6 linked regions of the Mus musculus genome follow. The protein of the gene in region 5 interacts with the protein of the main gene of each other region in a pairwise test. Links are inferred from orthologs where the notes say so. Each region holds a gene or a part of one and is shown on either strand. Other genes may lie near its edges. The genes, in order: Saxo1, Enox1, Tox4, Lzts2, Zmynd19 and Nab2.

Region 1 (5,100 bases), on a different chromosome or scaffold from region 5:
ATGTGCAACCAATCAATCCAGAGTGGCTTATGATTTGGTTTTCAATAAATTTTAGCACTGTGAAGAGACGCACATATGTCTGTGTTTCTGGCATAGCACACTTAGAAAAAAATATACCAGAAAAATAATAATAAATCTTAAAAGTGGGAGCTAGAGAGATGTTCTTTCAGAGGACATGGTTCAGTTCCTAGCATCCGTGCAATACAACTACCTGTAACACCAATTCTGAAAGATACAAAGCCTGTCTGGACTCCATGGGCATACCTATACATAACGTATACTCAACACAGATACACACATATACACAAATCAAAAGTAAGTAAAATACATAAATTAAAAGTAAATACATTTTTGAAAACTTTATACAGTGCACATATTATTAAAATGCCACTTCATGCCCTATAAATGGGTACAATTATTATGTGTCAATTTAAAATACAGATATTTTCAAAAGAGTAAATCAACTGAACATAAAAATTTTAAACTGGCAAAACTAATTTATGGTATTAAATTGCTATGGTATGGTATAATGGGGCAAGAAATGTAGCTCAGTTAATTTGTCTGGCATTTGGGAGGACCTGGCTTCAATACCCAGCATGGAAAAAACCCACAATGGCCGTGTTCTACTTCTGTAGATGTGGTATAGTTTTGGCCAAGCACTGTGTGTACAGTAAAAATGCTCTGATCTATGTAACCATACTGCATTCACTTTCTGTGTGTTATATTCAAATTTCTTGTAGTTGGATGAAAACAAGGAAATTGTAGATTCCTAATTAGCTTAAATTTGAACAGATCCCCCATTGTAAGAATCAAACAGAAGGCAAGTCAAACAAGGATCATAAAGAATATTCTAAAAGGTCAAGATACTGTGCATTTCTGCCACCCGTGGAGCCTCGGCCATGATCACCCAGCTTTGCCACTGTCACATAGAAGCAGTTAGAGCAGATGCATAAAAGAATGGATATGGCCACGTTCCAACATAATGTACCCTTGCCGGTAGTGGTGGCGCACGCCGGTAGGATTTGCTGAAGGAGGCAGAGGCAGGAGGATCACGAGTTCAAGGCCAGCCTGGGCCAACATAATGTACCCGCCAACGGTGAACTTCAAATATTGTAATTTTCAACATGTCTTGAAATAACTTTTTCAGTTATTGAAAATTATAAAGCCATTCTTAGCTTCCCATCTATACAAAAGTAGGCTGTTAGCTAGATTTAGCCTGCAGGTAGTGACCTTTGCCCTAAGGTGATGTGCATATACCCATGTCTTGGTGGGTCTGTAGCCCTGGCCTGACCTCTTGTTAATCCTTCTCTCACCTTTGTAGGTAGGCAGATATTGCATTATCTTGTCACCATTTGGAAATTTACTGTCCCGAGGTTTGATGAGGCCAACTGGACAGGTAGGGAGGTAGTTAAAATCGTGTTTATACGTTGTGAGTAAATCCATAGTCTCTTGACTCGGAACATATGTGTCAGGCTGGTGGAATGTCACCGGTAACATTTTGTGAAGCCCAAAATCTCTCCTAGGAAAAGAATAAACACAAGTCATTGGGATCCTTGCTCAGAAAAAAGACAGTGTTGTCCCCTTGGCTCGTATTAACAAATATTTCATTCTACCCTATCTCCTTACCTTCTATTTTTCTCTCTTCTACTATGGAACATGTCACTACAATTGACTTTTTTCCCATGTTTGACCCCTCGGGTGTCATCCTTGACCCCACCCTTCAAAGCCACCAAGAGCACTCACCAGGAGCAGCCCCTCTACCTTATTGGTTTTCCTTTCCTCTTTGGTCCAGACCCTTGCCCTTTTTTACTTGGGCCACGTGACAACCTTCCCCCTATCTTCCTCCTTCTGCTCCAATTTGCTTTGGTGTGTCCAGAGTAAACGGTGAAAAAAAGTCAGATCAGCTTGCCCAGTATCTTTAAATGTCTTCCAGACTAAACCCAGCTCACCCATGCAATTTATAAGTAGTCCCACACCCGTCCCCTGACTTATTCCCCACCCCTACCTATAACACATGTCAACCACGGGGCTCACTGAGAAGGAAGGGTCTTCTGTACTGAACCTCCTACCCATCTTCCATCCAACCCCTCATGTGGGGCTGGCATCGGTTAGCACCCGTTTCTCAGATACACTCACCTTTCTCTGTGTTCTCAGAAACTTCTTCTACTAATATTTATCGCCTCTACTCAGCCTTACAGAAAACCCAGAAGAGAAAAAATGTCATCGAGGCACAAAGTCTTCACTTCTTTGCTATCTACTGTCAGTGCCCCCATTATGTGAAAGAGGAACAAAACAGTAAGACGGAAAAGACAGAACACTGTTCGCCAAAGTAATCCCTTCCCAAATCATTGCACATCTGTGACAGGCCCAGGTGGCACCTGCCCATCATGCCGGCTATACCCAGCTGAGCCGGGCATTCCTGCCCACTGCAACAGTCTCTACTGCTTATTTCTCCATAAGACCAGTTCCTCCAAAGACTAACTGCTTCTTCCTGAATCCCATTTAGCCAAACAGGACAAGGGAAAAGCAGAGTTTTCCCCTTAAAGGTACTTGAGAAAACAGCTCTGTCAATGGAAGGGAGAGAATTCCAGACAGGAAACATTAGGCTAAACACTAATAAAACCTATTTCCAGGCTGAAACCTGGGGCAGCATTACCGAGCCATGCTTGAGTAGCAAGGGTAACATGCTCCACTGTAAACTGTCTTGCATGAATTATACACGGGGTTGTCCATAAACCCAAAGCAGGTCCTGAGCATGCTTGGTGGGATGAAGGACTGGGGAAGCATAAGAATTAGTCTCCTTGGGACTGCAAGTGGGAAACGGGAGATGCTTCGGCTGAACTCCTATAACACCCTCTTGGTACATCTTAAAATATATCCTAGTAGCAAGAACAACTGCAGCCTGACCTGCCTTCCTAGCAGCCTCACTGTGGGTGAACAGCAAAGGGACGCTGAGGGACCCCAGCATCTGGAAGTCAATTATAAAGGTGGGAGTTATGGAATAAACAGGCCGACAGGAAGCTAATAAGAAACCAAGGGTCAGGTTCACACTTTTCACCTTCTTAGATTAAGGTTGTGACTTCTCACAACTCAACCAATTGCAGCAAGACACTAGGAGACACTAAGCCTCCATGAGCTGTACGGACCAATGAAAATGGCTAAAACCCCATCTGAAAATCAGCTAACCTGAGAGTTATCTTCCTTCTAAAGTTCACCTTCTGGAGAGAAAATACCTAACAGGAGCTGAAGTTTCTCTCCACTCCCAGGACTAACGTGGCATTTTGAGGCCACCTTATCTATGTTCAGTGATGGCTAACCAGGCTGTGGTCCCTCTGCAGTTCTGAGGTATAGCAGAAGGTACCAAAAGTCATCATTGAAGAGCAAAGCTAGTTGTCCAAGCTTGCATGCTGAGGCCTCCCACCCCAGAGCTCTATGACTACCCTAAAAAGCTTACTTCTCCTCCAAGATGCCATTTTCCAAGGGTATTCAGCCCTGCAGACTAACAGCTGAAGCAGGCTCAATGCTCCATCTGCTGTTCACCCTCAGAAAGCTGCTAAGCAATAATGCTCACAAACTCACCAGCTCAGGGGCTAGCCTCAAGTCGCTGCTCAAAGACAGAAGCAGACGCACAAAACATGCTAAGTTCAGGAAATGGATTCATTACTTAATCTCCTTCCGGACAAAAGATTCAAATCCAGATATGAATGTGCATCTTTATTTGAATTCATTTACCAGCTCTAGAGAAGGCAAATCATTATGGGGAGGAGAAGCCTCTCACCTTCAGGGGAAAGGATCATTTTTAAGTTTGAAGTTTGATCCATTTTTATCTGGCCCAAAAATAGTCACCATGGCTTGCAAATGAATTTTATCAGAATGTATGGGCTTCCTCGTTAGATTTTTATGTTGGGAACATTCACCGAAAGCTATCATTAGCCGCAGCCTAAATGCCTGTCCCCAGTGTCACATAATCTTACATCCTTCAAGTTCATGGAGAAAAAAAAAAAGTTATTTTATTCTATACAGAAATTGCTTAAACTTAACCACTTGTTTTTCAACATTCAATGGCTTCTCTCTTCCTGTGGTGCATTCCCGAGTGTTTAACCTCGCTGTGATTCTGAATAAAGAAAAAAAAAAAAAAAAAAGGTCAAAGATCTAAGTTTTCTTTAGGTAGGTAGCTATAAAAGCTACCCAGCATGGAAAGCCAAGAGTTAAACTAGAATTAAGTACTGGTTAAAGTGGCCCTGCTGGGGAAGTTATAGCAACTTCATTTCAAATCATTTGGCTATGCTAAAGAAAGGTGTTGGGCATGAACAGAGAAAAAGGAAAGGGGAAATTACAGAATTGCTAACGAAAACCATTTGCCTGGAAGTGGAGAATGGAGAATTCTCACAGGAGCCAAACAAAGTTTACTTTTTTAAAAATAATTGAATATTTATACAAATTTCAAAAGGTATTATAGTAGCCGCCAGGGAATCAATCATGCTAAAATGGACTCTGTCTTACGGGGGTGAAGGGTGGCTTCCTATTTGCCAAAGCAGACTGTCACCCTTTCCCTAAATCACCTGCTTGAGCTCTTCATCCACAGACCATCTCCTACCCTGCATCTCTATCTTTCCCCAGCTGTCTCCTTTCTGGCAGTATTTAAACATGCCCCAGTATCTCCCATATTTTAAAGAAAAATAAAATATTTTATAATTTTTAATTGGTTATTTTATTTACATTTCAAATGTTCTCCCCCTTCCCAGTTTCCCCTCCACAAATCCCCTATCCCATCCCGATCCCCCACCCCTGCTTCTATGAGGGTGCTCCCCCACCAGCCTCACCACCCTACCATTCCCCTAAATTCCCCTAAGCATCAGGCTTTCACAGGACCAAGGGCCTCTCCTCCTATTGATGCCCGACAAGGCCATCCTCTGCTATATACACACACAGCTGAAGCCATGAGTCCCTCCAGGTGTACTCTTTGGTTGGTTGTTTAATCCCTGGGAGCTCTGTGGGGGTCTGGTTGGTTGACATTGTTGTTCTTCCTATGGGGTTGCAAACCCCTTCAGCTCCTATAGTCCTTCCCCTAACTTCTCCACTGGTGTCCCCGTGCTCAGT
Region 2 (5,730 bases), on a different chromosome or scaffold from region 5:
TCTTCCACTCTGGTAGGTAAGACAAATATGTGGCAAATGAACAGAATTTTATAAACATTTGAAAATTGTCTTGGAAGACTGTCTTACATTGGTGGTCTAGTTTGCCTATCGGCGGTCCAGTCTGCATATCTGCTCCCAAGTTTTAGAAATTCTTTTCAAGGCAGCGTTTTAGATATCTAAGTTTCTCATTTAACAAAACAAGAGTTCCAAGATGATAGCCAATGTCTCTTCAGAAGACTGTAAATGAAATGACAGTGAAGTCATTGGAAGGGACCCCCTAAGAGAAAACATAAAATGGATTTATTTGGAGGCACCCAGATAAATCCTTTTTAATTCTCACTTTATTTCAGTTATAGTTCACAGCTGTGGTATCATGGCTGGCAAGAGAGGCAGCTCATTGGAAGAGCCCGAGTTCAAAGGAATTGAAATTGAGCGTGGAATGTGAAATCGAGAACTCTTGCTTCTAAGAAGATGACTGGAAATACTGAGATTGGAGGAAGCCACCCTGAAGCAGCAGCAGAATTAGCAAGCCCCAGTGACCTTGTAACGTATGGGCCAGTGTTTAGTGCCTAGTGTTCCTGACAAGAGAAAAGCTTGCTTCTGACCAGCATCTAGAGGCAGACAGATTTAACACCTCCTTTCCTATCCTTTTCTGTAGAAGGGAGTGTAGAAACTGCCAAGTATCTGCAACTCGGTGACTTGGACCTTTTTTGAGAAGGTTAGGTGTCCCCAGGATCTTTATCCTTTGCTCAGGCAGATTATACCACCAAGTTCCTTTCTGAGTGCTCTTTTCGTGAATCTTTTGGTAAATTTGCACAATGGGTCAGTCTTCTCCTATGTTCCTTCTTTGCACTGGGGCCTGGCAGCCCGAGGGGAAAAATAGTCTTTCACACAGGGAACTGGCATACGTTTAAATCAAGCAAGCCTAGTGGGATGGTAATGACATTCCCACCATCTGAGTTTCTGCCTTCAGGATATGTGAAGCTAGAAAACAATGTCATTCATTCAACATTTATAGAGAACACACAGTGTACAGGGGCGCTGTGCAAGTCTTGGAGGGCAGGCAAAAGTGCAAACCCTAACCCGCTCTTGAGGATTCCTGCCAAGAAGAGCATGACAACTGCAACACGGACCTTACACTCCTGGAAGGAATTCTTGGGTGAATAAAGTCTGCTTATTTAAAGTAAGCATGGAAAACTATACCAACAGCTCGATGTACCTTTCAGGAATAGGACAGATAAGTGGGATTTAGTCATAATCTCTAAGGTGTTAGAGCGCTCGGTGATGAAGGTGTTCTCAGCTTGCTTTGAGTTACTTGTGTATCGGGACAGTTGGCAGAATCCTAACAAAGAGAGGGCCAATACTTCTATATGGAGGTGGCTAACTTTGAGGGAAAGTGGCTTCCAAGGAGAACAAAAAGGTAACATTTTCATCTGGAGCGATCCCAACCACCACTGAGGCATCCTAATACCCTGGGTAAAACCTCTGTGCCCAGGCTCAACCTTAGACAGCGCCGGGTTGAGCAGTGCATCTCAGCATCCTGGAGTCCACTGCACGCACCGAGTTCCCCCCCGCACCCCGGTCGCCTGCCTGGCGCCTTCAAGGTCGCCATGGCAACCATGGGGTACCAAGACCAGTCCCTGAACGTCCAGCCTAGAAATTCAAACTGGCAGCAGTGGCACGAGCGAGTCGCCTCAGCTCCTCCCCCGAGGGAATAGCGCGATCCTCGGCCGTGGGCACCACTTGTGCAGCATCAGTGGCAGAGCGCTCCTCCGGCTCCAGATCGGCCGGGATCCGGAGCTCGAGCGCGCCACGCCGCCTCTCATCTGGTTTCTCCGCCGGGCCAGTCGCTTCTTCGGGCCAGACAGGCCGCCCATCCTTTCACCGCTTTACGGATTTCCGGGGGCGACGAATTTTGCCTCGGTCCCTACGAGCATCTCTCCGCTTCGCTCCCCCGCCCCTCGCGACTCCCCCCACTCCTGGGCGCGCGCGCGCACACTCACTCACACTCTCAGGCGCGCGTGCGCACGCCCGCGCGCCCCGAGCCGCGGAGTCTCCAGCGCCCCTGAGCAGATCCCACTCTCCCGGGCGCTGCTACTCACACAGGCTTCCAGCCGCCACGGGGCGTCCTCTGTCTGCGGCAGCAGCGGCGGCGCGAGCGGAGGCTGCAGTCTAGCCGGGTCTGGCTGCTCGGCGCCCTGGACAGAGTCCGGCAGAAGCGCGATCGGGAGGAGACGCCGAGGCAAGGAGGAGCCGCGCCGCGCCCGGCGCTCGCTTGCCTCGAATCCCCGCACCGCGGCCCCAGGTAAGCGGCTCCGCGGCCCGCAGCATCCCCGGGGCGTAGGGACTCGCCGCCCATGGGGGGTTCCCGGTCCCGCCCCCGTCGTGGCCGGGGAACAAGGCACCGAGGGGAGTGGGCGAGGGGGGAGGGGAGCGGAGCTGGAGGTGAGGCTGGAAGGCAGCGGTGTGGGGGAGCCCCCTGCGCCCTTCCCCGACGCTCCTCGGGCTCCCGCACTTTTATGAGCCGGGGGTGCTCAGCGCCCCACACAGATGTACTCCGCTCTTTTTTATCGCTGGCCGGCTAGAGTCCGCTCGGGCTCCGCGCCTACCACGCACCAACCGCCTCCCCTGCACCTTGGACAGCGCACCCCGCCGCTCGCCTCCCGGGGACCGCACCCGGGACCCTGTCCTGCCCGCGCAGCCCTCCGGTTGTTCCGTTCTTCCCATAGTGTCCTCCTCCTGTCTTGCATAGCATCTCCCTGCCTTGGCGTTCTCTACTCTGGCGCGGGCCAGAAACTTTCCTCTCTGCCCGATCTGCGCGAGGTACTATTGTTGTTATTTGTGTCTTTCCTTCTCGCTGGGAACTGGACACAAGGACAGGTCTTCCTCTGCGGGCGATCGCCTGCCTTTCCCAGTCCAAGACCGCACTGGGCAGCCGGACTTGGACACCCGGCCGGCGCCTCGGCAGCTGGACGCCCGCGGGTTCCCCGCCTCTCTGGACACGTGCACTCCTCCCACGGACGCGGCCCCTCCCGGACCACCCTATGTCCTACCCCTGCATGGCCACGGCCACCCCATAGGTTGGACACCCGGGATCGCGGGCTCTGATTGGTTGATCTCATAACCCCGCCTCCTTGGAGGGGGTGGTTCTGGAGTGTTGTGGTTGTCATCCCGCAGCGAGCACATGGGGGAAGTGGGGTCGACAGGTGGGGAAACCCAGCTCTATGGCATACACATCCCAGTGTATGTAATCCGGCTAGTATCATTCCTTCAAATTGCACATTGTGCTTTACTCCCCCTTCCGCAGTCTTCCACTGTTATAACATTTTAAAAAATTTAAATTTTGTTGAGATTATGTTTGTTCAGTGGTAGTGGTTTTTAAAAGTAGCTTTAGGAGAATGCAGGAAACGAATGCACGAGAGGAGATTCATGGCAAACTGGGCTGCATGTTTGAGTTTGGTCCTTTGGAGGAAGTAGTGAAGGGTCATTAAGGGATCTGAAGAAGGTGAAGAAAGGAGAAGGGAAATGGATTGTTGGCAGAGACCCTGGTGCTTACGAACCCAAGGAAGGAGGTGGTGGGTCTTTTGTAGGTGGCGATGTGAAGAAGTCCCTGGGAGCTCTAGTGGGAGGCAGCTGCGGTCTGCTGAAGACTGCTCTCTGGAAAAGTAGTAATTTTGTCTAGTACTTAGGTTGTGATTAACACACTTTGCTTTTGTTTTGCTAGCGTTGCACTCTTGATAGGAGACTTATAGTAATAATGTCCGTGCACATAATGGATATTGATTATTCCGCTTTCTTGTGATATGCAGATTTGCAAATGGTAATGAATTTCATCCCTCTAGAGGGAAGCATTAGTTAAAGTGCTTCTGAAATATGGTGAGACAAGACGGATGGGCACTGTGTGAAGTCTAGAGACTGTCCTGACATTGTGTAGTGCCATTCCAGAAATACGTACAAATTACTTTTATTTCCCTTCATTTCTAAGCCTGATTGCCGCCGGCATTCTCGAGCTTTAATTCCTTCAGACTGTTTTGATGTCATGTCTGAACACTTTAAGGATATTGTCATTCTTATCTTTGTAACCTTGTCAATGCAAAGCAAGTGGCAAGGGATGCAGGATAATGTTGACAACTTTATATTGAGCACACTGTGTGTTATTTTATTTGTAAGCTGGTGGAATGTGCAAAAGGAACATAGCATGGCTGTAACTACCCAGGGACCCATATCCAAACAAAGTGGAGAGTCACGTGAGGCTATTCCAGGGAGTGCAATTCAATTCTTTTTAAGATGAATAAATTTTAAAGATTCCTATGTGTAAATGGTAACACTAGTTGAAAGGTCTTTTAACACACTTATGGTCTGGTAGCACATATTAAGTTAAATGGCTTATTTAATATGTGAGATGGTTCAAAGGAGATGACAAAGCCTCCCAATCTTCTATTATATAAGTAGGAAGAAGAGCTTTGCTCTCTGGAAGGCTTCCTAATCAAGGAACAGGGTTTGACACATCTGACACCTCTGAAGTCGTTGCTGTTGCTGAGAAAATGATTCTGACTGTGTTTTTATTTCTCTAGTTCATGCTCTGGTTTTCCCACATGGATTTAGATGCTGGCTGCAGGCCTACGAAATGTATATGTGTGTAGACTGGAAAAGAATGTGTGCAATAGCACAAACATATATGGGTATGTGCAAAATATATATTTATGTCTGCACACAGTTATAAACTGGATGCATATGATTTAGGGTACCTGCAGCGTATTTATATTCATATATATATTCTTGTCGGCCTCGGAAATTTTGCTCATCTCTTCTTGTCCGAAAGGTGGCCCTGTTTTAAACTGTAAAAGCATTATCACCAGTAGAATTGGCCAATAGATCACAGAAACAGACAATAGTATTTTGTTGCCTGGCAACCACCTACTGTGAATGAAAAACAGAGCAGTGACAGCTGCATGCACATCCTGGTCCCCAGCCCATGGTCCCCAGCCCATGGTCCTCAGCCCAGGCATCGAAGCCCTCCACTTGACATACATCTGCAAGTTTCACTTCAGACAGGCAAACCTGTCTCTTTAAAAAAAAATGTTAGTAACACAATTTTGAATTTTTTGGTTGTAATAAGAACTGTGTGGTGATTGTTGAGGAAATGAAGCGCTCATTTCTATTGCCCCTTTTAAAGCCTGGTGTAAACAGAAAAACCAGAGTGGGAGGGAGGTTTCTAACCTTCACAGAAGCCATTAAGCATCCCGAGCACACACTGACTACCGTTAGGTGCTCTTAGGATGTTATAAAAGCTTGAGTTAGCTCTGTGATACCTAAGTAGAGGGCAGCCTTTTACTGCTAAAAGCCAAGTCGAGAGTGATGCTTTCCAGCTTAACTATTTAATTCCAAGCATTCCGGAGGCACGGGAGGGATACAGCAGCCTGGTGACAGCCCATAGGACCGCTTCCCTGGGATACCCTGGGATGGAATTCCTTGGTGACTGTCTCCTACTTTCTCCTCCACATTATTCTCTCTTCGTTCCCTTTTTCCCCCATTGGAACTTGTAGCTGGGATTGAATCAGGATACTTTGAAAGTACATAGTAATTACAAGTGAAGATCAATACGGACATACTAGGCTAGAGTGTGGACTGAGGTGTGCTGCACACAGTTTATTTTGCATTCGGCCCCATGAACCCACCTCCTTCCCGCCACCTGCAAGCTCTGTGCCTTGCTAGCTGTTTATAGTTTAG
Region 3 (5,032 bases), on a different chromosome or scaffold from region 5:
GACAGCCAGGGCTACATAGAGAAACCCTGTCTGGAAAACCAACAAAACAAAACAAAAAAACAGGCTTTTGGACTCGTGTTCAGCAGATGAATCTTCAAGGCTTGGAGAAGACGAAGGCTACTTCACAAACACCACAGAGTTTGGATTTCTAGAGGCCACCCAGGCCAAGAATACATCCCTAAGAGAGAAAGATACATACAAACTTATTATAGCAAAACCATACCCAAATATTTCCCTACATCTCCAAAGTATAACATCATCAAGTAGCCTAAAAGTCAGATGTGGTAGACTGTGCCAATCCACCTCGTAGAGGACACATATGCCCTTTCACGGATATAGGTAATTCCCTGGGATATTTTGGTAGAAGGGCAAAGTTTTCACTTACTACTCACCTTCTCTACACTTAGCATTTACTCTGCTACTTTCCCCCTTACCTATCCCTCACCAAATTCTTTGACACTGGTAATTGAAATCAGGACCTTACCCATGCCAGGCAAGCAGTTGTCAGTTGAGCTACATCCTCATCTCTAAGCAATTGAACATCTAGGAGCATCTCTAATCAGATACCTACCCACCCACACATGTCAAGTGGCTCTGCCTAATAAGGTCATGCTCAGTCCACACGGGTACGGGTACCATGCTCCCCAACAGTTTCACTTCACTACCTCTTGATTTATAAGGACTGTTAAACTCACCTGCAGTGCTTCACCACACACTCATTGCTGCAGTACTCGTTGTCCCAGTCCTTACTGACAACAGGAGGGTTCTCACAACCAGACCTCACACATCGAGGCTGAGGTGACAGTGCCACAGGGGAGCCACTCACCAATTCAACATCCATCTGAGAAGGAGACTCCACCTTAAAACAGGGAGCAATACAAGGATGGATTAGAGTGCTACTACCTAGTCAAAACATCTGCCACACCCCCTTATATAAGGAGTTTCAGAAAAAGGTGATTTCTTGTTCTCATTTATAACCAAGCTTACAGCTCTAGGAAGCAGAATGAATTCTTAATATTTTCATTTTAAAGTAACTTTATAAAGTGAAGCTGACATGCAGAGGCAGGAGAATCAGGTTCAAGGCTATCTTTGGCTACATAGTCCATATGTCCTGGCCAACATAAGACCCTATCTCAAAAAACAAAGAGCAAAGGCTTTACCTCAGGAACTACATCTGCGATCATTTCACAGATTGTCTCAGGAGAGGTTGCCTCTACTGTGTGGGCCTCGGGGCTGCTGTTCATAGGCTGCTCAGGACTGCTTTCTACAGTTGGAGGGACCACAGTAGTCTGTATTTTCAGAGTGGGTGGAGGCACAATCTTGCTCTGCAGAGGTGGTGGCTGCTGCTGTAAGTTGATTCTAACTTTCTGAGGTGGAGGTTGCTGCATGGCCTGAAGTGGAGGGGGTTGCTGTAGAATGGTTACTTGCTGTTGAGTTGGGGGCTGAGGCATCTGTTGCAACGGAGGAGGCTGTAGTCGGGGTGGAGGCAGTTGCATGGAAGCAGCAGCAGCTGCAGCTGCCTGCAACACTGACCGGGTGACAATCTGGGCCTGCTGGCTTGGCTGAATAGTAGCTGTACTTGTTTGGCCTACCTGGAGCCCACGGGAGGTAACCACTGTGGCTGGGATAACAGTAACCATTCCACCTTGGGACATGGTGATAGAAGAAGGCAACATCTGTTTGGTAATAATCAACTTGGTAATATTGGGCTGACCTCCAGGCCCAGAAGAGGCTTGGTTTGCCACGTAAGATGAAAGCGTGGAATTCACTATGATGCAAGGGGGCAAAGCAGGAGACTCCGTTGAGGCTGGTGCTGGAGATGCTGGGTCAGCAGCAGTCACAGGAGGTGGGGAAGGAGTCTGTGACTGTGGCACAGGATCTAATTCCACTGTTTCCACAGTAGCCTACAAACAAAGACCAAGACAAAAAGGCGACAAGTAATTTACTCTCTACTCTAGTACACATTCATTTTCATTACAGCAAAAAAAAAAAAAAGATGTCATAGAAAGATAAGGACTTTCTTACGTAAACACTGGAAGTAGTGGATAAACTAAAAGACTTATTTACAGAACTTATGATTGAAATACTGGGTGAGGAAGCTCTAAAATTTAACACTATACAGTAATAGGTTATACAGGTTTATTTTTTATGTGTATGTGTAGTATTTTTTGGGTGGTGGTGGGGTTCGAGACAGGGTTTCTCTGTATAGCCCTGGCTGTCCTGGTATGTGTAGTATTTACCTGCACATATGTGCACCATATGTATGCTTCAGGAGGTCATAAGAGGTCACTGGATCTTAAGGAACTGGAGTTACAGATAGTCCTAAGTCAACATGTTGAGTATTGGGTACAGAATTAATATCCTTCCCAAGAACAGCAGTGCTTTTAACTCTCACAGCCTCACCACGATTTTGGTTTCCTGGCTCTGTGTGTGTGTGTGTGTGTGTGTGTGTGTGTGTGTGTGTGTGTGTGTGTGAGATTTACCTATAACAATTGGAAAAAAAAATGACTTAAGGCATCTGTTTATTGTAACCATACCTGGCATTCCTGGTTGTCTTTATAAGCAGCTAGTGCCTTGAGATACTCTTTCTTGGCAGCCTCAGTCTTCCGCTTGTACACCTACAGGAAAGACAGTGTTTGTTTCAAATGAACCACTGGTAAGTCTGGTAAGTACTGTGCATCAGAACTCAGTTCAACCACTCACAGAGGTGAACAGCTCCATGTCCACTGCCATATAAAGCATAAAACCGTTTGCAAATTGTAAGATCAGTAATATACTTAGCTCAATACCGCCCAACTCAGAAAGGTTTCCCTTAGGAAATGTGTAAGCTGTCAAAGATGACCTCAAGAGTCCTTTCCTCTTGCATGTCTCTTCTGACACCAAAAGCGGAAGCCTATTTCTTTTACTGAATCTGGGCTACCTCTGTGACTTGTTTGATCACTAGAATATAACACACTATTTAAAACACAAGAGGCAATAGATCTCTATGAATCTGCATCCAGCCTGGGCTACAAAGTCAGTTCCAGGACAGCCAGGACTACACAAGAAACCTTGTCTTAAAAAACAAAGCAAACAACCCAAAAAAACACATGAAAGGCTACAAGGAATAACAACACAGCAACTAACAGACAGAAGTAACTGCCAGCTTAGCCAGCCATACTCCACCATTTGGTTAAAACAAAATCAGCTTTTTGTTTTAGGTACTGAGGACTGCTTTGACAGAAAATACAGGCACATAGGGTAATGATAATTACAGCTATCTTCAGTTTACGACTTGATGATTCATACCTTCCACCCCCACCAACACACACATTCCATAAGCTAGCCTTGAAACTCATGATCCTCTCTCTGCCTCATAAATGCTAAGAACCACAGTAGTATCCTACCATGTCAGTTTCTTTTTCCTAAAGAGATGGTGTATGTGTGTCTCAGTATGTTGTTGATCCCAAATCGCTGGGGCCAAGGTGTTTTCTACCCTGCCCTCCCCTCCCCAGTATAACTGGGACTACACATACATGTCATTATTACCAGTTCAATTTTTTTAATTCTGTTTAAATTTAGGGAGAATATATGTATATTCTATATTCTATTCTATTCTCTCTCTCTCTCTAAACATATATATATTATATATATAGTTAGTTTTCAAGCTAAACTGTACCTGAAACTTTGAGGGATAGTTTCAACATGCAACTTACCAAGAAATATTTTAACTTTACAATTAGAAAAAAAACACGAGGCTCGGGAAAGTTAACCTAAAAACTAAACAGTTAAAGACAAAAGAGGGATTAGGCACTATTGGATGGTACATGGAATTTCCAAGCTTTGAAAAGCTAAACTCAACAGCTGAAGACACAAGGGATAAGGCACAATTGCTCACTGTCACATGAAATTTAAAGTTAAGGGAACAAGACTGCCCAACCTTATCATTTAGAAGCTGTATGACCTTAACTGGGTAGGGAACCCCATAGTTCATCTTTAGACCTTTTCTTTCTTTTCTCTTCTCTTCTTTCTCTTTTCTCTTTCTCCCCCTCTCCTCTTTCCTTCTCTCCCTCCCTCCCTCCCTCCCTCCCTCCCTCCCTCCCTCTCTCCATCCCTCCCTTTCTTTTTTTCGAGACAGGGTTTCTCTGTGTGGCCCTGGCTGTCCTGAAATTCACTTTGTAGACCAGGCTGGCCTCAAACTCAGAAATTCACCTGCCTCTGCCTCCCAAGTGCTGGGATTAAAGGCGCGCGCCACCACACCTGCCAGAGTTCACCATTAGTAAAAGGAAAATGATGGTTATTTTACAGATTAGGGAAGATACACAGTCTTTTTATAGTGGAATTTTATTATTTATTCGTGTGTACATGTGCATGTTTTTGGGTGTGCATGCAGAGGTCAGAGGACAAATTGATTCTTCCCTGTCACCGTGAAGAATGTTGGGTTCAAGGTCATCAGAAGCCTTCACCCAATGAGCGCTAATTTGCAGTCCCACTTATAGTTTGATAATGGGATTTTAGGTTAGAGGTAGCTCTGTAGGAGAGTAAACATTTAGCAAGTATAAAGCCTTGGGTTTGCTACCCAGCACAACAACAATAACTAAATTAAAATGATTTTTTTCCCTGAAACTTCTAAGATAAAGAATATGTGAGCCAGGCAGTGGTGGCTCACACCTTGAATCCCAGCACTCAGGAGGTAGAGGCAGGTGGATCTCTGTGAGTTTGAGGCTAGCCTGCTCTACAGAGTAAGTTCCAGGATAGCCAGGGCTGTTACACAGAGAACCCCTGTATGGAAAGCAAATGTATTAATACCATTAACAAAGAGCTCTACGACAGGGAAAGATGTGTGGTGATTTGAATTAAGAATGGCCCTCATGGGCTGGAGAGATGGCTTAGCAGTTAAGAGCATTGACTGCTCTTCCAGAGATCCTGAGTTCAATTCCCAGCAACCACATTGTGGCTCACACCATCTGGAACAGAGTCCGATGCTCTCTTCTGGTGTGTCTGCTGACGACAGCGACAGTGTACTCACATACATAAAATTAAATCTTAAAAA
Region 4 (4,835 bases), on a different chromosome or scaffold from region 5:
GGAGGTATTAACAGTACCCATCTAACAGAGAAGGAAACGCCACTAGCTGTGAGGTCACTAGATCACAACCGTGAGATCCAACAGAGGCACAAGGAATGCTCCAACCCTGACAAGGAAGGACAGACCCGGAACGGTAGCTACTGTGGGCCAGCTGTGCAGAGCGTGACCCCCTTCATCCTGCCCGGCGTCCATCATGCATACCTCCCATTTGGTCTCCTCCAGCCGTGGCCCGAGTTCCCGCTGCTCCCGTTCAAAAGTGGCACAGCGGCGCTCCAGCTGTTCCCGCTCCTGTAGCAGCTGGGCAAAGTCATCCTGCAACTGGCGCTTCTCTTGCTGCAGCTGGAACACCTGCAGCTGCAGCAGCTGTTGGGCCCGCTGGACGCGCTGCGTGGCCTGCTGCGCCTGGGCTGCACAGTCCTCCCCTCGCTCCCGTGGCCAGCGCCGCTGCCGTGCCCCGAATGCCTAGGGAAAGACTTCAGGCTAGAAATGGTCCGGTCCAGTCCCTCCGCCGCCGCCGCCGCCGCCGCCGCCGCCGCCGCCGCCCCCCTCCCCCCCCGATCATGAGCTCTACCATCTCCTGCTTGGGTAGCTCCCTGCCTGGCCTGAATCCAGTGAATTATGACAATTATAAAAGCAGGCACTTATATGGCCTTTCCTAGGTATCAGGTGTTAGTCTAAGGACTTTATCCTTTTTGTCTTATTTAATCTTCATCACCCCCTTAGGGAGTCACAGTTATCTCCATTTACACAGGGAGACTGCGGCCCGGTGAGATTGATTAACTTGCTCAAACCTAACACCCTACAAAACAGTGCTGGGTCCAATTCCTATATACCCTGCCTCCTCACCGCTTTGAAGGTTAAGCTAACCAACCTTGGGGGGGAGGGGTGTCACACCAGGAGTCTTGACCCTCTCCCTCCCCAACAGCAACGCTCTGGGTATTCAGCCCCACGGCCCCAGGACTGCCATTGGCCGCACCTGACACACTGTGGCCTCACTCTCATCCATACTGTCCCGCAGCTGCTGCAGCTCTGCCTCGCGGTCTCTGAGCTTCCCTTCCAGGACACAGTGTAGCAAGGCCTCATCCGAAGGGGGTGGAGGTGGTGGAGGGGGTGGAGAGCGGTCTCCACCAGAACTGCTGCCAGGGGAGGCCCGGGCACCACTGCCCAAGAGCCCCCCAGCTACACGACCCCCCAAGGAGCCCGTGCTTTTGCTGGAGGAGGACCGGCCACTGTCTGAATGGGAGGGCCCAGTAGGGACCCCTCGGGCTGGACCAGGCAGTGCCCCTCGGCCAGGGCCGTGGGAGGGCAGGTGCCCACCTGGGGAGTTGGTGGTTGGCTCGGCACCTCCAGTGCTGTAGGTGGGCAAGCTGGATAAAGAATTTCGGCCAGAGTCTGACAGCGTTCCTGAAGGGCAGCCACTGGCCCAACCACTCAGTGCCAAGGGTTTGTCAGCAGCAGAGGAGGAAGAGGAAGAGGAGGAGGAAGAGGCTGGCCCCCCAAACAGCTGTGTCAGGCTGCCCTGGCTCCCAGATAGCCCAGCAGCTCGAGGACCAAGGAAGCCGGGTAGGGATGGCGCCCCCCGAGGTTTGGGTAGCACTGGCTTGAAGGCTGTTGGCCGGATCAGGATCTTCTCCATATTCTGAAATGAGGCACCAGTTGACACTGTGAGGGTGATCTGCCCAGTCCCTTGCCCTTTTTAAAATGTTATTTCTGTTGCTTTTCTGAGACAGGGTTTTACTTTACTGGCCCGAGCTCACTCACTTTGTATCCCCAAGCTAGGCTTGATCACAAGCAAGGTTTCTCTGCCTTTTAAGATTACAGGGGTGGGTGGGGGGTGGGTGGGGGGTGGCTCAGCGGTTAAGAGCACTGACTGTTCTTCTGAAGGTCCTGAGTTCAAATCCCAGCAACCACATGGTGGCTCACAACCACCCGTAATGAGATCTGGTGCCCTCTTCTGGTGTGTTCAAAGACAGCTACAGTGTACTTATGTATAATAATAAATAAATCTTTAAAAACAAAACAAAAACAAACAAACAAAAAAAGATTACAGGGTGTGTGCCGGGCAGTGGTGGTGCACGCCTTTAATCTCAGCACTTGGGAGGCAGAGGCAGAGGCAGGCAGATTTCTGAGTTCGAGGCCAGCCTGGTCTACAGAGTGAGCTCCAGGACAGCCAGGATTATACAGAGAAACTCTGTCTCCAAAAACCAAAAACCAAACCAAACCAAACCAAACAAAAACCAAGATTACAGGTGTGTCATACCAAGCCCAGTTTGCTTGCTTGATCTTTCAAAACACTAACGTGTGTAAGTTTGTGTGTGTGTGTGGTGTATATGTATGTTTTATGTGCATGAGTGTGCACGTGTGCACACACTGGTGACTGGTGACTGCGTGTGAAGAGACCAAATGTCAAAGTCAGGTGTTTTCCTCAATTACTTTCCACCTAATTTGTTATACAGCCTCTGAACCTGGAGTTCACCAACCCAGCCAGCCTGACTGGCCAGCCAGCCCCAGGGATCTGCCTGTCTCTGCCCGTCAAGTGCTGAGATTCCAGTCCTTTGCCACAATGGCCAACTTCTTACAGGGTACTGGGGATCTGAACTCAGGTTCTTGTGTTTATGCAGCAAGCATCTCACCCACTTTGCTATCTCTTCAAGCCTCAAACCTTGATCTTTCAAAACTGTCACACTACTCGATTCCCCATACAGGGTCCTCAAGTCCTATAAATTAAAAACAACTCTTCCCTCTAGCAGCAAGTTTCTAATTGCCTACTTACATTAAGTAATTCAAAATGCTCATTTTTTAATCATAATAGCTACACAAACAAAACATGATCCTCTTCTCATATTAAAAACAAGGATGTAGAGGCCCATAGTAAAGTTAAAGGTTTTGCCCAAGGACACATACACACACCTCTGAATAATTGAAGCAACTAGGCTGGAGGTGGTAACAAATGCCTTTAATCCTAGCCCTCGGGAGGCAGAAGCAAGCAGATCTCTGTGAGTTCGAGGCCAGCCTGGTCTGCACAGTGAGTTCCAGGACAGCCAAGGCTACAGAGAGAAACCATGTCTCAAAAAACAAAATAAAACTAACTCAGACAATTACTATATTGTTCATTTGAGGTTGCTGGGTACTTTACTATGTATTAATTCTAACAGGAACCTACAAAGATTAGCCTCTAACCGTAACCATAAAGACACAGAAAACGGGGCTCAGACAGGTTATTTCACTGTCTGAGTGGTAAGACAGAACCCATATTCTTTGCTCTACTGACGCTTCCAAATTCTAGCTTCCCTGAGGGGCTCCTGGCTTCCCACCCAGGTCCTCCCAAAAGGGCTGCCCGTTACCTTCTCCAGCTTTCCAGAGACAGGGATGAGCTTTGGTGGGGGCCCACGGAGGTGGGCATTGTGTGCCTGATGTTCCCGGGGATCTTCAACATCACTGCTGGGGCTGGGAGGAGACTCTGTCCGGAAGTCCTCATTGACATAGGTAAAGCTATTGCCTGGGACAGCCTTCCTCGGTGGCACAGCCGGGCAGAGCGGTTCCTGTGCCTCGTAGCCACCCGGTAGCAGCCCATCCTGCTGGCGGAAGAAGGTGGGCCCAGGGACACCATGATGTCGTTGAGGAGCAGGTCCCCCGGGGCAGGGCCGGCCTGAGATAAGACTGCTCACGCTGCCCATTGCTGGAGTTTTGGGGGCAGTGGCTGTCTCACGTGCGGGCTCCAGAGGCACTGGCAGAGTGTGCACAATGGCCATGGTGGCAGAGGCTCAGGTCTGGCCAGGGGCCTCCGGGGCAACCTGTGAGCAGGGCATTGGTGTCAGAGTCCCTGCACCTTGAGGATCCTCCCCCTATAAGCCTTCTCCTGACCCCCTCCTCCAGATAGAACATTCCCCATTTAGGAAAAAGGCTTCCCTTCCAAGAACTGGCATGAACCTCGAGTTCCTCTGGGCCTCAACTCTAGTCTGGAACAAGGCTAAGGAATAACTTGACCACACAGAGAGGAAGGAATGGGAGATCTAAACATTTATACAGGGTTCCTTGGCAGAGAAGACCTAGTTTAAGCCCCAACCTGTATCCCCTATATAGCCAAAGACTCAGATTGGGCAGAGATCCCTAACTCTAGCTCCCAGTACAGGTCCCTACTCTCCTGGGACAGGTGGCCTCATTACTGGGCTGTTTGGGCAGAGGACACGTCAGGGATGCAATCAGCAACTCAGATGGTAATTAGGGAACAAAGAGTCAAAGCCAGGCGCTGTCCAGCCTCCCACCACTGGGCCTCAGTTTCTCCCAGACACTCAGGCGGCTTCGAGGGTGGAGCTGGCCAAACAGGAAACCTTACAGGTCTTAGGAATCCACAGGTGCCCTCTGGGGTCTCTCCTACCTCCCAGAGGTTGATGCAGGCTGTGCTTGTTTCCATGTCACTCTTAGCTTCTGCCATCACTCGGGACTAAGGGAGCCTACCCAGGCCCTGTCCCACTGCCAACCTTTATAAACCTTCCTGCTTTAGTTGATCTTCAGAATAACCCCTATGGAATTTGAGCAGGAGCCCATTACCACGTCTAGTAGGAGCTCAAGTAAGATGGCTGGCTCCGCCTCCCCTAGTCTTACTCCTTCCTGGAAAGAACAGCAAGCCTGCACCCAGAACGGAACTCCCGCCCAGTCCCAAGGCTGCCGATGACCAAGACTTAGGCATCTGCTGAAGTCATCACAGAGCAAAGGGGCCAAAAAGTGGACTGAGGATCCATGAGAAAGAAGAATGTGTGTGTGTGTGTATGTGTGTGTGTGTGTATGTGTGTGTGTGTGTACATTTACTTGTGGGTGTGAGTACATAGACAGGG
Region 5 (3,974 bases):
AGCACAGAGCAGAGTGCATCTGTTGGAAAGCCTTTAACTCTCAGCATATTTCAAATCCAGCTCAGAAAAATGCCAGAAGTACAGATGATATCCTGCTCCTAGGACCCCAAAAGTACAGGGGTCACATCCTGATCAACAACTTGCAAAATACTGTGCACACCAACTAAATTTTCCTACCCTTAAAAAAGTCCAGAACGGACGACGGGGAGCTCAGCAGTTAAGACAACTAGCTGCTCTTTCAGAGGACCCTGGGCTTGATTCCCTACAGCCACCTGGTGGCTCACAACCATGTGATTCATGCACGGATATTCAGGTAAACATTAATACACATAAATAAACCCATGGGAAAATAATAATTGAGGGGGAAAATGCCCATGTTGGCTGTGATGCTCCACATCTGTAATCTTAGCACTCAGGTAATGGAGACAGGGAGATTTAAATATTCACAGCTGGCTTGGGGGAGCAAAACCTTGCCCCCACGCCCCACCAGGCCACCATCCAGAGATGGTAGGTAGTTCTTTACCAAGAACAATGAGGGCAGGATGGCCTCCATGGTTATAGTGCAAAGGCGAGAGGATAGCTACACCCAAGTGTGCTCATTTGATTTAACAGACACACAATCATCAACACAGCAAAGCAGTGTGCTTTCAAAGACTAGCAATCAGGGTGAAGAAGGTCACAACGGACTCTACCAGCCAGCAATGTCCAGGTTGTCACAACCTGCTCTGGAGCTAAAGATCATAAATATCAGTGGGAGGGCTGGTGAGATGGCTCAGTGGTTAAGAGTGCCGACTGCTCTTCCAAAGGTCCTGAGTTCAAATCCCAGCAACCACATGGTGGCTCACAACCATCTGTAATGAAATCTGACTCCCTCTTCTGGAGTGTCTGAAGACAGCTAAAGTGTACTTACATATGAATAAATAAATAAATATTTAAAAAAAAATAAAAAATAAAATAAATATCAGTGGGTATCTTCTTGTTCTCCCAGAACAAGGGAGGAAACTCATTTCTTATTCTTCCTGGGCAACAAACAGCAATGCTTACCTCAAAGGAGTAGCTCTCCACCAGTGGTATGTCTTGCTCATCGATCAGTGTGTATTTGGTCTGAAAAGAAATCATGTTTCAAAAATTACATATGAGATTCACCTATGAAACAATAACATCAGGAATCTATAATACTGTCCAATAAGAAAGAAAGGAGCCACATGTTAAGTGGGGCCTTGCTCAGGCTCATTTGGCACAGCCTACATCAAAGTGCAGTCCAAGCTGGGCATGGTGGCATCTTTAATCCTAACACTCAAAGGTAGTGGCAGACAGAACTCTGTGAGTTCCCGAACAGCCAGGACCACATAGTAAGATCCTGCCTCAAAAAAAGAAAGAAACGCCAGGCAGTGGTAGCGCACACCTTTAATCCCAGCTCTCGGAGGCAGAGGCAGGCAGATTTCTGAGTTCGAGGCCAGCCTGGTCTACAGAAGTGAGTTCCAGGACAGCCTGGGCTACAGAGAAACCCTGTCTCGAACCCCCCCCCCAAAAGGAAAAATAGTAAAAAGAAAGTAGATCCAGTATATTAAAGCAAAACATGACCACATGTACCAGCGTGGGTAATTAGGCTTCAGAGCCCATCTACACCTGATAGACCCTGACAAGTGGTATCCAGAAACTCGGTCAAACACAAGTCTAGTGGAATGGAGGAAGGGAATGGGATTAAGATAGATCATCCAGGTTCCAGGTGAGATGTTTGTTCAATAGGCTGGATATATTGCACGTGCTCACTGGATAGTCCTTCACCTGATTTCAAATACTCCTAATAAAAGCTTTAATGGCCCAAGGCTCCTGCAAATAATTTCTAAGTCATAAGCCTCCCATCCCTCTCTAGTTAGAAATAGAAAGTTCCAGAAGTCCTTTCCTAAGCTCAAGACAGGTTGCTTTTACTTTCCTGGAAGCTCTTCTAAGATCTCAGTTACCTGCCTCTACTTTCTGTCTGTTCCTCTCTCCCACTAGTAGCCGCCGCCACTGGTGGAACAGACTTAAGGTCCACAGTTCCTGAACAGCACCAAGAAGCCCAGCTTCATGAGGTGGGTGGTGGCCCAGGCGAGGAGTACCTGAGAGTCTTGGAGCCTACCAAGATCAGGACCCTGGCTCCTCGTCTGTGCTCTAGGGAAGCCTGCGACTCGAGTGACCGAACGTGGCCAACGTTAAAACGCTCCGCCAAAGGGGACTGCGGACCGGCCGCTCCGCTCGCCTCAGAGCTTCGGGCCGAGAGCGTCACGGCGGGAGGCCGCCGCGTTTAAACCGCAGGTGCAGCCCGGCCGCCGGAGCCGCGGCAGGTGCCCAGGGAGGCACAGGATGAACCCCAAGGAACTGTTCCGCGCCAGCCAGTCCCACACGAGTCCTGAGGCCGAGGGGCGCGCCCCCGGCCGCGGGGAAGATTCCCGCGAGGAAGGCGGCGCCGGACCAAGCAGGCCCGCGCAGCTGCTCGCCCTAGTGCCCCAGCCCGTGCAGGCCTCGCCGCCGCTCCACACCGCTCACCTTCCCGGCCACCCGGCCGAGCCGCACGATGCCCAATTTAAAGTCGGTCATGGCCAGGCCTGCGCTCTCGGCAGGCGGAGCCGCTCCCTCGGGAGGCTCCGGACCGGACCGGGCCGTAGCGAGGCCGCGGCACTCCGGGTCGGGCCGGTGCCGGAGTCAGGCCGGGCGGGCCGCGGGCGGACGAGGCTGGGCCGGGCTCGGGCCACCGCCGCCGCCTCGCGCCCGCCGGACCTGCCACGCGCCGCCGCCACCACCGTGCGCACCCCAGCGAGCGAAGCAGAGGGCGGGGCACGACCGGGACACACCCCCCACCGGCGGGGGCCGACCAATCGCGAGACGCGCCCTTCGCCGGTCGTGGCGCGCCGCGGCCAAGTGACCAATGGGACTAGGAAACAGACGCAGGCGCAGTGAAAAAGAACCAAGTGCGGGGGGAGGGGCGAGCCGGGGGCGGCGCCTGCGCGGCGGCCGGCGCAACGTCAATTTCGCGGGAAGCTTTGTGCGCGCTGCAGAGACCGCTGAGGCGCGGGAGTGAGCGCAGTAGGTCGCAGCTTCTTCCTGAGACTAGCTGCTTGCGTTCGCGCCTCTGAGTTGTGTACAGTGTAGAACGTATGTCCTTACCCGGTGGTTACCGGTTAGCAGGATGCTGAGTGAGTGGTCCAGGTCTCCAGAATCAACCTGCGGGGCAGCGACGAGTACCTACAGGGTGTTTCCTGGAACCCATGCACCTTAGGTCTCCTAAGACCTTCCGGAAGAAGCCGGAGACTGGGGTGGATATCGGTCTCTGGAAAAGGGAGACCTGGTAGTCTGGAATCCTGACATAGCTGACAAGGCCTAGAGTTCGAACTCAGGGCTAGGCTCCACCTGCTTCAAGATGATCCCAGGCATCAACGGATCTGCATACGTTTCTACCTCTCATTGTTCCATTTTGAAATTACCAGGAGCAAAGGATTGTCGAGTGAAGCTAGAACTTCTCTCAGCCCTTGGTGCATAATATTATCCCCAGGTGCTTTGCTGCTCAAACGCACCTGTTCCATTACCCGCTTCAGATTTGTGATGATTAAGAGAAAGCTTTTTAGTAAGAGGTGGAATGCTTAGGATGATGCAAAGTGCGTTCCCTGGTGATAAAACCATTTGTCTTATTGCATATTCCTCTAAAACATTAATTCAACACATCCCCATGACTTGAAGAGAGACCTGTTAGATCAAAGAGATCCCCCTTGTAGAGGGAATCAACCACACCTCATGCCCTATTGTATACATTTCTTAAGCTGATATGAATGAGTATGAGGTAGCCACAAGGTAGGGTTAGATTAGATTCTAAATTATGGCTTTACAAACTATTTAGCCTTCACTAATCTGCCAAACTCAAAAATAGCTACACCCTGAGCTCAGAAGCTATTCCCTTTAAGGGAAGAAGACATAATAGATACAAATAGACTTTTCTT
Region 6 (4,886 bases), on a different chromosome or scaffold from region 5:
ATGCTTTGCTCAGATGTGACTATGGTAGAGGACAGCTGCCTAACTCAGCCTGTGGGAGGTTTCCCCCAAGGCACCTGGTGAGTAGCAACCCGGGAGTGAGGGCTGAGACAATGGGTGCTGTGCCTGCTCCCCTACTTCTCCCTCCTCTTTGCAGGGTCAGTGAAGACATGTACCCTCCCCTGATGCCTCCCACTGAACAGGACCTCACCAAGCTTCTCCTGGAGAACCAAGGGGAGGCAGGAGGGTCCTTAGGAAGCCAGCCCCTCCTGCAACCATCTCCTTATGGGCAATCAGGGATCTCACTGTCCCACCTGGACCTAAGGACCAACCCCAGCTGGTGATCCCAGCTGGAGAAGCCCAGAAACAAAGCCTCTTCTGTCTCTATGGACCAGCTCTGGACACCTGCTCATGCAGGTGCCTTCCGTCTCAACTGTTCCTTGGTCAAGAGAAAAGAACTGGCTGGGAGACCATGTGGTGTATGGAACTGCTGTGCTCTGTCCTTCCTGCCATATCAGGGCCCCCCTTTTCCAGCACTGGGTGCAAAGGGATGAGTGGGGTGTTAATGCTCGAATGTGATACAACTGTATCACAACACACACGCACACACACATACACACACACCAGAACTGTGTTGAGCCAGGGCCTGGGACTCAACATACAGAAACATAGAGACATTGTGCCAAAGACAGAGGGCATATAGGCCTAGGGCATTGAAGCTGGGCTCAGGTGACTCTGGGAGGGAGAAAAAGGAAAAAGTGGGTATACAGTCACTGGTGTGAGTTCTACCCAGATTTTAAAAAACAAGACTCCAAAGCTCCAAATTCTTGCAAAAAAAGATGCCTAGTGACATTTGAGACTGCATTCTAAGAGCTAAGCTTGTGTATAGCTGTACCAATGTTTACCCAAGACATGTTAACCTATAGAAGTCACACATCACTGTATGACCGCACAGAACATGTATCTTCTGCTTTTGCCAGTGTGACCTTAACATATCTGAAAGGCTGAGACATTGTATAAGACAGCAACCCAGTATCATTTGGGGAGTAACTATGTGGCTGTGACATGCATAAAGCTCTAGCCTGGGTAACTTGATGCTTCCAGTGTTTCCTAGAGCCTGGGATATAAGTAGGGATGCAGACCTCTCTGTGTAAACTCCCTGGGCGTTGAGGCCCTCAACTGCTGTCTCTTGTACTTTTCTGTCCACTGCCAGCTCTGCCCCCCTCCCCCGGCTCTTACCCAGTCCTTTTTCCCTCACTGGAGGGGAAGGGGGCCATGGATCCTAAGCCATAAAATAAATTTTATTCCAAAATAACAAAATAAATAATCTACTGTACACAATCTGAAAAGAAAGACACGCTAAGTGTTCGACAGGTGCTGCAGTCCTGCCGGCTGAGGAGGCCCAGGGTCCAACCCAGGCCTCTAAGGGGCTGGTGGAGGGAACTTCGGGGCACCCTCCCACACAGTGCTGAGAGAAAGGTCTGCGGGGAGGGGGGAGATAAGAACGGGTGGGCAAACTGCAGCACTTGTTAAATTAAAGAAACAAACTAGAAGCACGAAAAATGGGGATGGGGAGGGGAGACCCAGTTTTCCCAAGCCCCCAGTCTCAGAGTGAAGGTTCCACTGTAAGTCGCTAGACCTTCCTGGGGAAGTTCTTTCTCCGTGTCCAAGTGAAGTAGTTCAGCTGCTCACACCACTGCTGGCCACCTGGAGAATATGTGTGTGTGTGTGTGTGTGTGTGTGTGTGTGTGTGTGTGTGTGTGGTATGAGAGAAAGGAGAGCCCCAGCAGGCTGGAGGCAAAGTCCGTGCCCCTAAGCCGGGTGAGGGCACACCTTGCACCGTCCTTGTGTCCTCTGGCCAGGCCCCTGCCTGTTATTGCTTGAAGCCCCATAGTCCTGTGCCCATGGGGCGGATGGGAGGCAGAGGGCAGCAGAAGGATCCTTCTAGGGTAGTGGCGAGTGCAAGGATGGAGAATGTGGGGGTCTAAGTGAGCCAGAAGTCTGGGTCCTGGGTCTGAGACTTCCCCCACTTTCACTGCCGGCTGGCTTCTGCCTCCACTTTAACGCTGCTCCTGCGGCCCTCCACCAGAGCAGGATGAGGTCCCGGGGCAGGGCAGCGGTCCAGCAACCCCTCCTCGAACTCTGTAGGAAAGAGGTGTAGGTTGGTTAGAACACTGGGTTGGAGGCTGAGCAGAAGCGTTGTTATGAGGCCAGGCACAGAAAAATGCGAAGACAGCTCCATTTATTGAATTACTGCCTCCTGCCCACTGCATGTGTATGGGGGTTCCGTACCCAAGCGTATGCAGCTCCCCCTCCTAGTTTGGTTGTGTGTAGCTCTCTGTCTCTGTGTGTCTCTCTTCCCTGTCTCGCCCGCCTCTGCTCTGCTGGAATTTCTGGTTCTGTCAGGAGCTGCGGGGGCGGCTTGGCTCTGACCTCTCTCCCTCCCCCTCCCCCTTCCCAGGCCCAGCCACCCCCCTCCACTCACCTCGGGTCCCCTCCCAGGTCTCGCCCTCCCTATAAGTGCTCCCCGAGTTTTTGGTAGCCAAATCAGGGGAAACACAGGAAGCTAGACTCCCAGCTCCTCCCTCAAGAGAAGCACCCCCTTCAGTCCCCGCCCCCACTTCCCACCCACGCACAGTTTAAAAATACCAAGCCAGGGTTGGTGGCTTTGCCTGCGGCGTCACTCTCAGCCCAGCGGCTGCCCGGCCCTCTCCTTTCCTATGCACACATAAAGTGCCCAGTTTGGGCTCCTTGGTTTCCAAGCTGGGGAACCCTATCCCCACAACTCCCAGCGATTCCATCCCCTGCATTAGGTAGCTCTAGCCAGGCCTCCCTTACTGCTGTCTCCCCTGTTCACCTTCACCCCTCATTCTGTTCTCTGCTCCTTGGTCAAAGATCCCCACCTGAATCAGACCCTCCCACTTGGAAATAACCCAGTAGTAGCTTGCCCTGTTCAAGGTCTGGCTAGCTGGAGCTCCTCCTACTGTTCTGACAGCTGTATCCCTCTTCCTCCCTCTGGTCCTAGAAAATGAGGACCCACATGGGGGCCTGAGTAACTGGGGTGTTTAGGGACAGCACTGCTGGCTGCCTCACCTGCGAGAGGCGGCTTCGCAGGCACACAGGGGCTGAGGCGGCCCACACGATCATGGGAGACGAGGCGGGCGAGCCGCAGCCCCTCATCCATCAGTGTCTGCTGCAAGATGTGGCGGCTCCATAGCCCATGCGCTGGCAATGCCAGGGGCAGGTCAGCAGGGGGCGGCGTCAGCCTTGGGCACGACCCCACAGCTGTGGGCATGGGCACTGGTCAGGTCAGGGGCTGCTGCCAACAATACCCACCCTCAACCGACAGTCATTCCCATAGGCTCCTCTGTCCCCATCCAGCCAGGCCTCCCAACCCTGTTCCAGGCAGTTGACACCTGGCTCATTCCTGCAATCCACCCGCCCCACTTCCACCGCCTCCCAAAGCAGAGAAAGGTGCTCTAATGCACACTCACCCTGCAAGTGGCCATCCAGGCTCTCCCCAGACAGACTGGCGCTGTCCTCCTCTAGGCTGGGGCGGTATGGGGGTGCATAGGACTCAGGGCCTGGAGGAGGCTGCTGGATTTCATTGTGACTCTGTTCTCCAACCTGTGGATGCCCAAAATTTGGAAAATAAGGACTCACCAAGGCAGTGGTTGGGGCAGGCTGCCGTTCCCTGCCCCCCAAACTCTACCTCTTGTTTCAGTTTCTTCAGTGGTGGGCCTCCCAATTCTTCAGAGTGAAGCCTGCAAAAAAAACGGAGAAAAAAAAATGAGTGGAATTAGGAAGGGCCCCACAACTCCACAACCCACGGGGTGCACAATCCGGCCAGGAAACATGCAGTACTTAAAACTGCAGGAAGAAGCTGGTTGGACAGGAGTTGGAAGTCCAATCATTATGGGGGGCGGGGGGGTTGGGAACAGAGAGCAAGCTTCAGACAAGTTTAAGTTGAGTTGGCAAGGTGAAGACATGCAGGTGGGTGGGAAGCAGGCCTAGAGCCGCCTGAGCCACAAGTGGGGAGAGCCAAGTCCTTGGCAGGATTCCAACCAAATGGCCCTGGGGAAGAGGGGGGAGGGGGTCTCACCTGGATCCCTTCAAGGAAGAAAGATAGGTGCTCTCTCGGGCTACTTGTCGGGACAGTGAGAAGAGTTCTACCCTTCGCAGTAAAAGAGTGTTGTCCCTCATGCAGAACTGGGCAGCAGCCTCGTTGATGGTCAGCTGTGGCAAGAGGACAGCCAATGTGAGTCCTTGACTTTCCTACTGTTTTTTTTCCCCTTTACCACCACTGGGAGGTCCATCCAAAGACTGTCTGCTTTAAATAATACCCAGGAACTGCCTGTACTTAAAGACAGGGGTGGGGATATTGTCCCTATCAGGGCCTCCTGCACCTAGGATGTGAGCAGTGCGGGGCTCACTGCTATTATCTCAGCTTCCCTTTGGGTGACAAGAACGTAAAGCAGCAGCAGGGGTTGGGTATGTGTGAGTGTGGGGAAGGAGCTTGGGTGGTCGTGGGGACAGTCATACAGAGGTGGAAGACGGAAGAAGTCTCAGAGGCAAGTGAACTGAGCCCCAGGAGTGAAGGGCAGCCTTGAGGACCCGGGGTCCTCACCTCATGCAAGCTAAGCTGTTTGCCCTCCCGCCTTTTGGAGTCCAGGCGGCCGTAGATGACGCTGTACTTCCGGATCTCCTCTTCCTTCTGGGCGTCATGATCGTCCATCTCAAAGATGTGCCCCACGCTCCGCGCCAGCTTCTTATTCAGCTTCAACAGGGATGCGATCTCTCCAGTGTCACCCCTGGGGAAACTCCGGAAGATCCTCTCCACACTCTCCACCACCATTCGCACCATCTCTGGTTCCAGGCGGTCTGGACCA

Evidence for each region.
Region 1: the proteins of Zmynd19 (region 5) and Saxo1 interact in binary tests that used the Homo sapiens proteins (3 or more experiments, as listed by UniProt). The two-hybrid records come from large-scale screens. The link is inferred for Mus musculus from reciprocal best matches to the Homo sapiens genes ZMYND19 and SAXO1.
Region 2: the proteins of Zmynd19 (region 5) and Enox1 interact in binary tests that used the Homo sapiens proteins (3 or more experiments, as listed by UniProt). The two-hybrid records come from large-scale screens. The link is inferred for Mus musculus from reciprocal best matches to the Homo sapiens genes ZMYND19 and ENOX1.
Region 3: the proteins of Zmynd19 (region 5) and Tox4 interact in binary tests that used the Homo sapiens proteins (3 or more experiments, as listed by UniProt). The two-hybrid records come from large-scale screens. The link is inferred for Mus musculus from reciprocal best matches to the Homo sapiens genes ZMYND19 and TOX4.
Region 4: the proteins of Zmynd19 (region 5) and Lzts2 interact in binary tests that used the Homo sapiens proteins (3 or more experiments, as listed by UniProt). The two-hybrid records come from large-scale screens. The link is inferred for Mus musculus from reciprocal best matches to the Homo sapiens genes ZMYND19 and LZTS2.
Region 6: the proteins of Zmynd19 (region 5) and Nab2 interact in binary tests that used the Homo sapiens proteins (3 or more experiments, as listed by UniProt). The two-hybrid records come from large-scale screens. The link is inferred for Mus musculus from reciprocal best matches to the Homo sapiens genes ZMYND19 and NAB2.

What each region holds. Positions count from the first base shown.
Region 1 is NC_000070.6:86,477,560-86,482,659, forward strand, and holds part of Saxo1 (stabilizer of axonemal microtubules 1), read right to left. Parts: intron 1,520-5,100; coding exon 1,314-1,519; intron 1-1,313. UniProt on the Homo sapiens protein: May play a role in the regulation of cilium length. Stabilizes microtubules at low temperature.
Region 2 is NC_000080.6:77,154,738-77,160,467, forward strand, and holds the start of Enox1 (ecto-NOX disulfide-thiol exchanger 1), read left to right. Parts: upstream 1-2,025; 5' UTR 2,026-2,305; intron 2,306-5,730. UniProt on the Homo sapiens protein: Probably acts as a terminal oxidase of plasma electron transport from cytosolic NAD(P)H via hydroquinones to acceptors at the cell surface.
Region 3 is NC_000080.6:52,288,347-52,293,378, reverse strand, and holds part of Tox4 (TOX high mobility group box family member 4), read right to left. Parts: intron 2,619-5,032; coding exon 2,538-2,618; intron 1,905-2,537; coding exon 1,161-1,904; intron 860-1,160; coding exon 696-859; intron 179-695; coding exon 118-178; 3' UTR 1-117. UniProt on the Homo sapiens protein: Transcription factor that modulates cell fate reprogramming from the somatic state to the pluripotent and neuronal fate. In liver, controls the expression of hormone-regulated gluconeogenic genes such as G6PC1 and PCK1.
Region 4 is NC_000085.6:45,020,346-45,025,180, reverse strand, and holds part of Lzts2 (leucine zipper putative tumor suppressor 2), read right to left. Parts: intron 3,795-4,835; 5' UTR 3,753-3,794; coding exon 3,345-3,752; intron 3,344-3,344; exon of another isoform or gene 2,911-3,343; intron 1,640-2,910; coding exon 977-1,639; intron 463-976; coding exon 202-462; intron 1-201. UniProt on the Homo sapiens protein: Negative regulator of katanin-mediated microtubule severing and release from the centrosome. Required for central spindle formation and the completion of cytokinesis.
Region 5 is NC_000068.7:24,948,603-24,952,576, reverse strand, and holds the start of Zmynd19 (zinc finger MYND domain-containing protein 19), read right to left. Parts: upstream 2,801-3,974; 5' UTR 2,581-2,800; coding exon 2,530-2,580; intron 2,420-2,529; exon of another isoform or gene 2,103-2,419; intron 1,105-2,102; coding exon 1,045-1,104; intron 1-1,044. UniProt on the Homo sapiens protein: May be involved as a regulatory molecule in GPR24/MCH-R1 signaling.
Region 6 is NC_000076.6:127,659,641-127,664,526, forward strand, and holds the end of Nab2 (NGFI-A-binding protein 2), read right to left. Parts: coding exon 4,625-4,886; intron 4,234-4,624; coding exon 4,100-4,233; intron 3,762-4,099; coding exon 3,710-3,761; intron 3,625-3,709; coding exon 3,492-3,624; intron 3,283-3,491; coding exon 3,091-3,282; intron 2,140-3,090; coding exon 2,030-2,139; 3' UTR 1,278-2,029; downstream 1-1,277. Other genes in the region: Stat6 (signal transducer and transcription activator 6), read left to right, coding at 1-77, 155-341. UniProt on the Homo sapiens protein: Acts as a transcriptional repressor for zinc finger transcription factors EGR1 and EGR2. Isoform 2 lacks repression ability.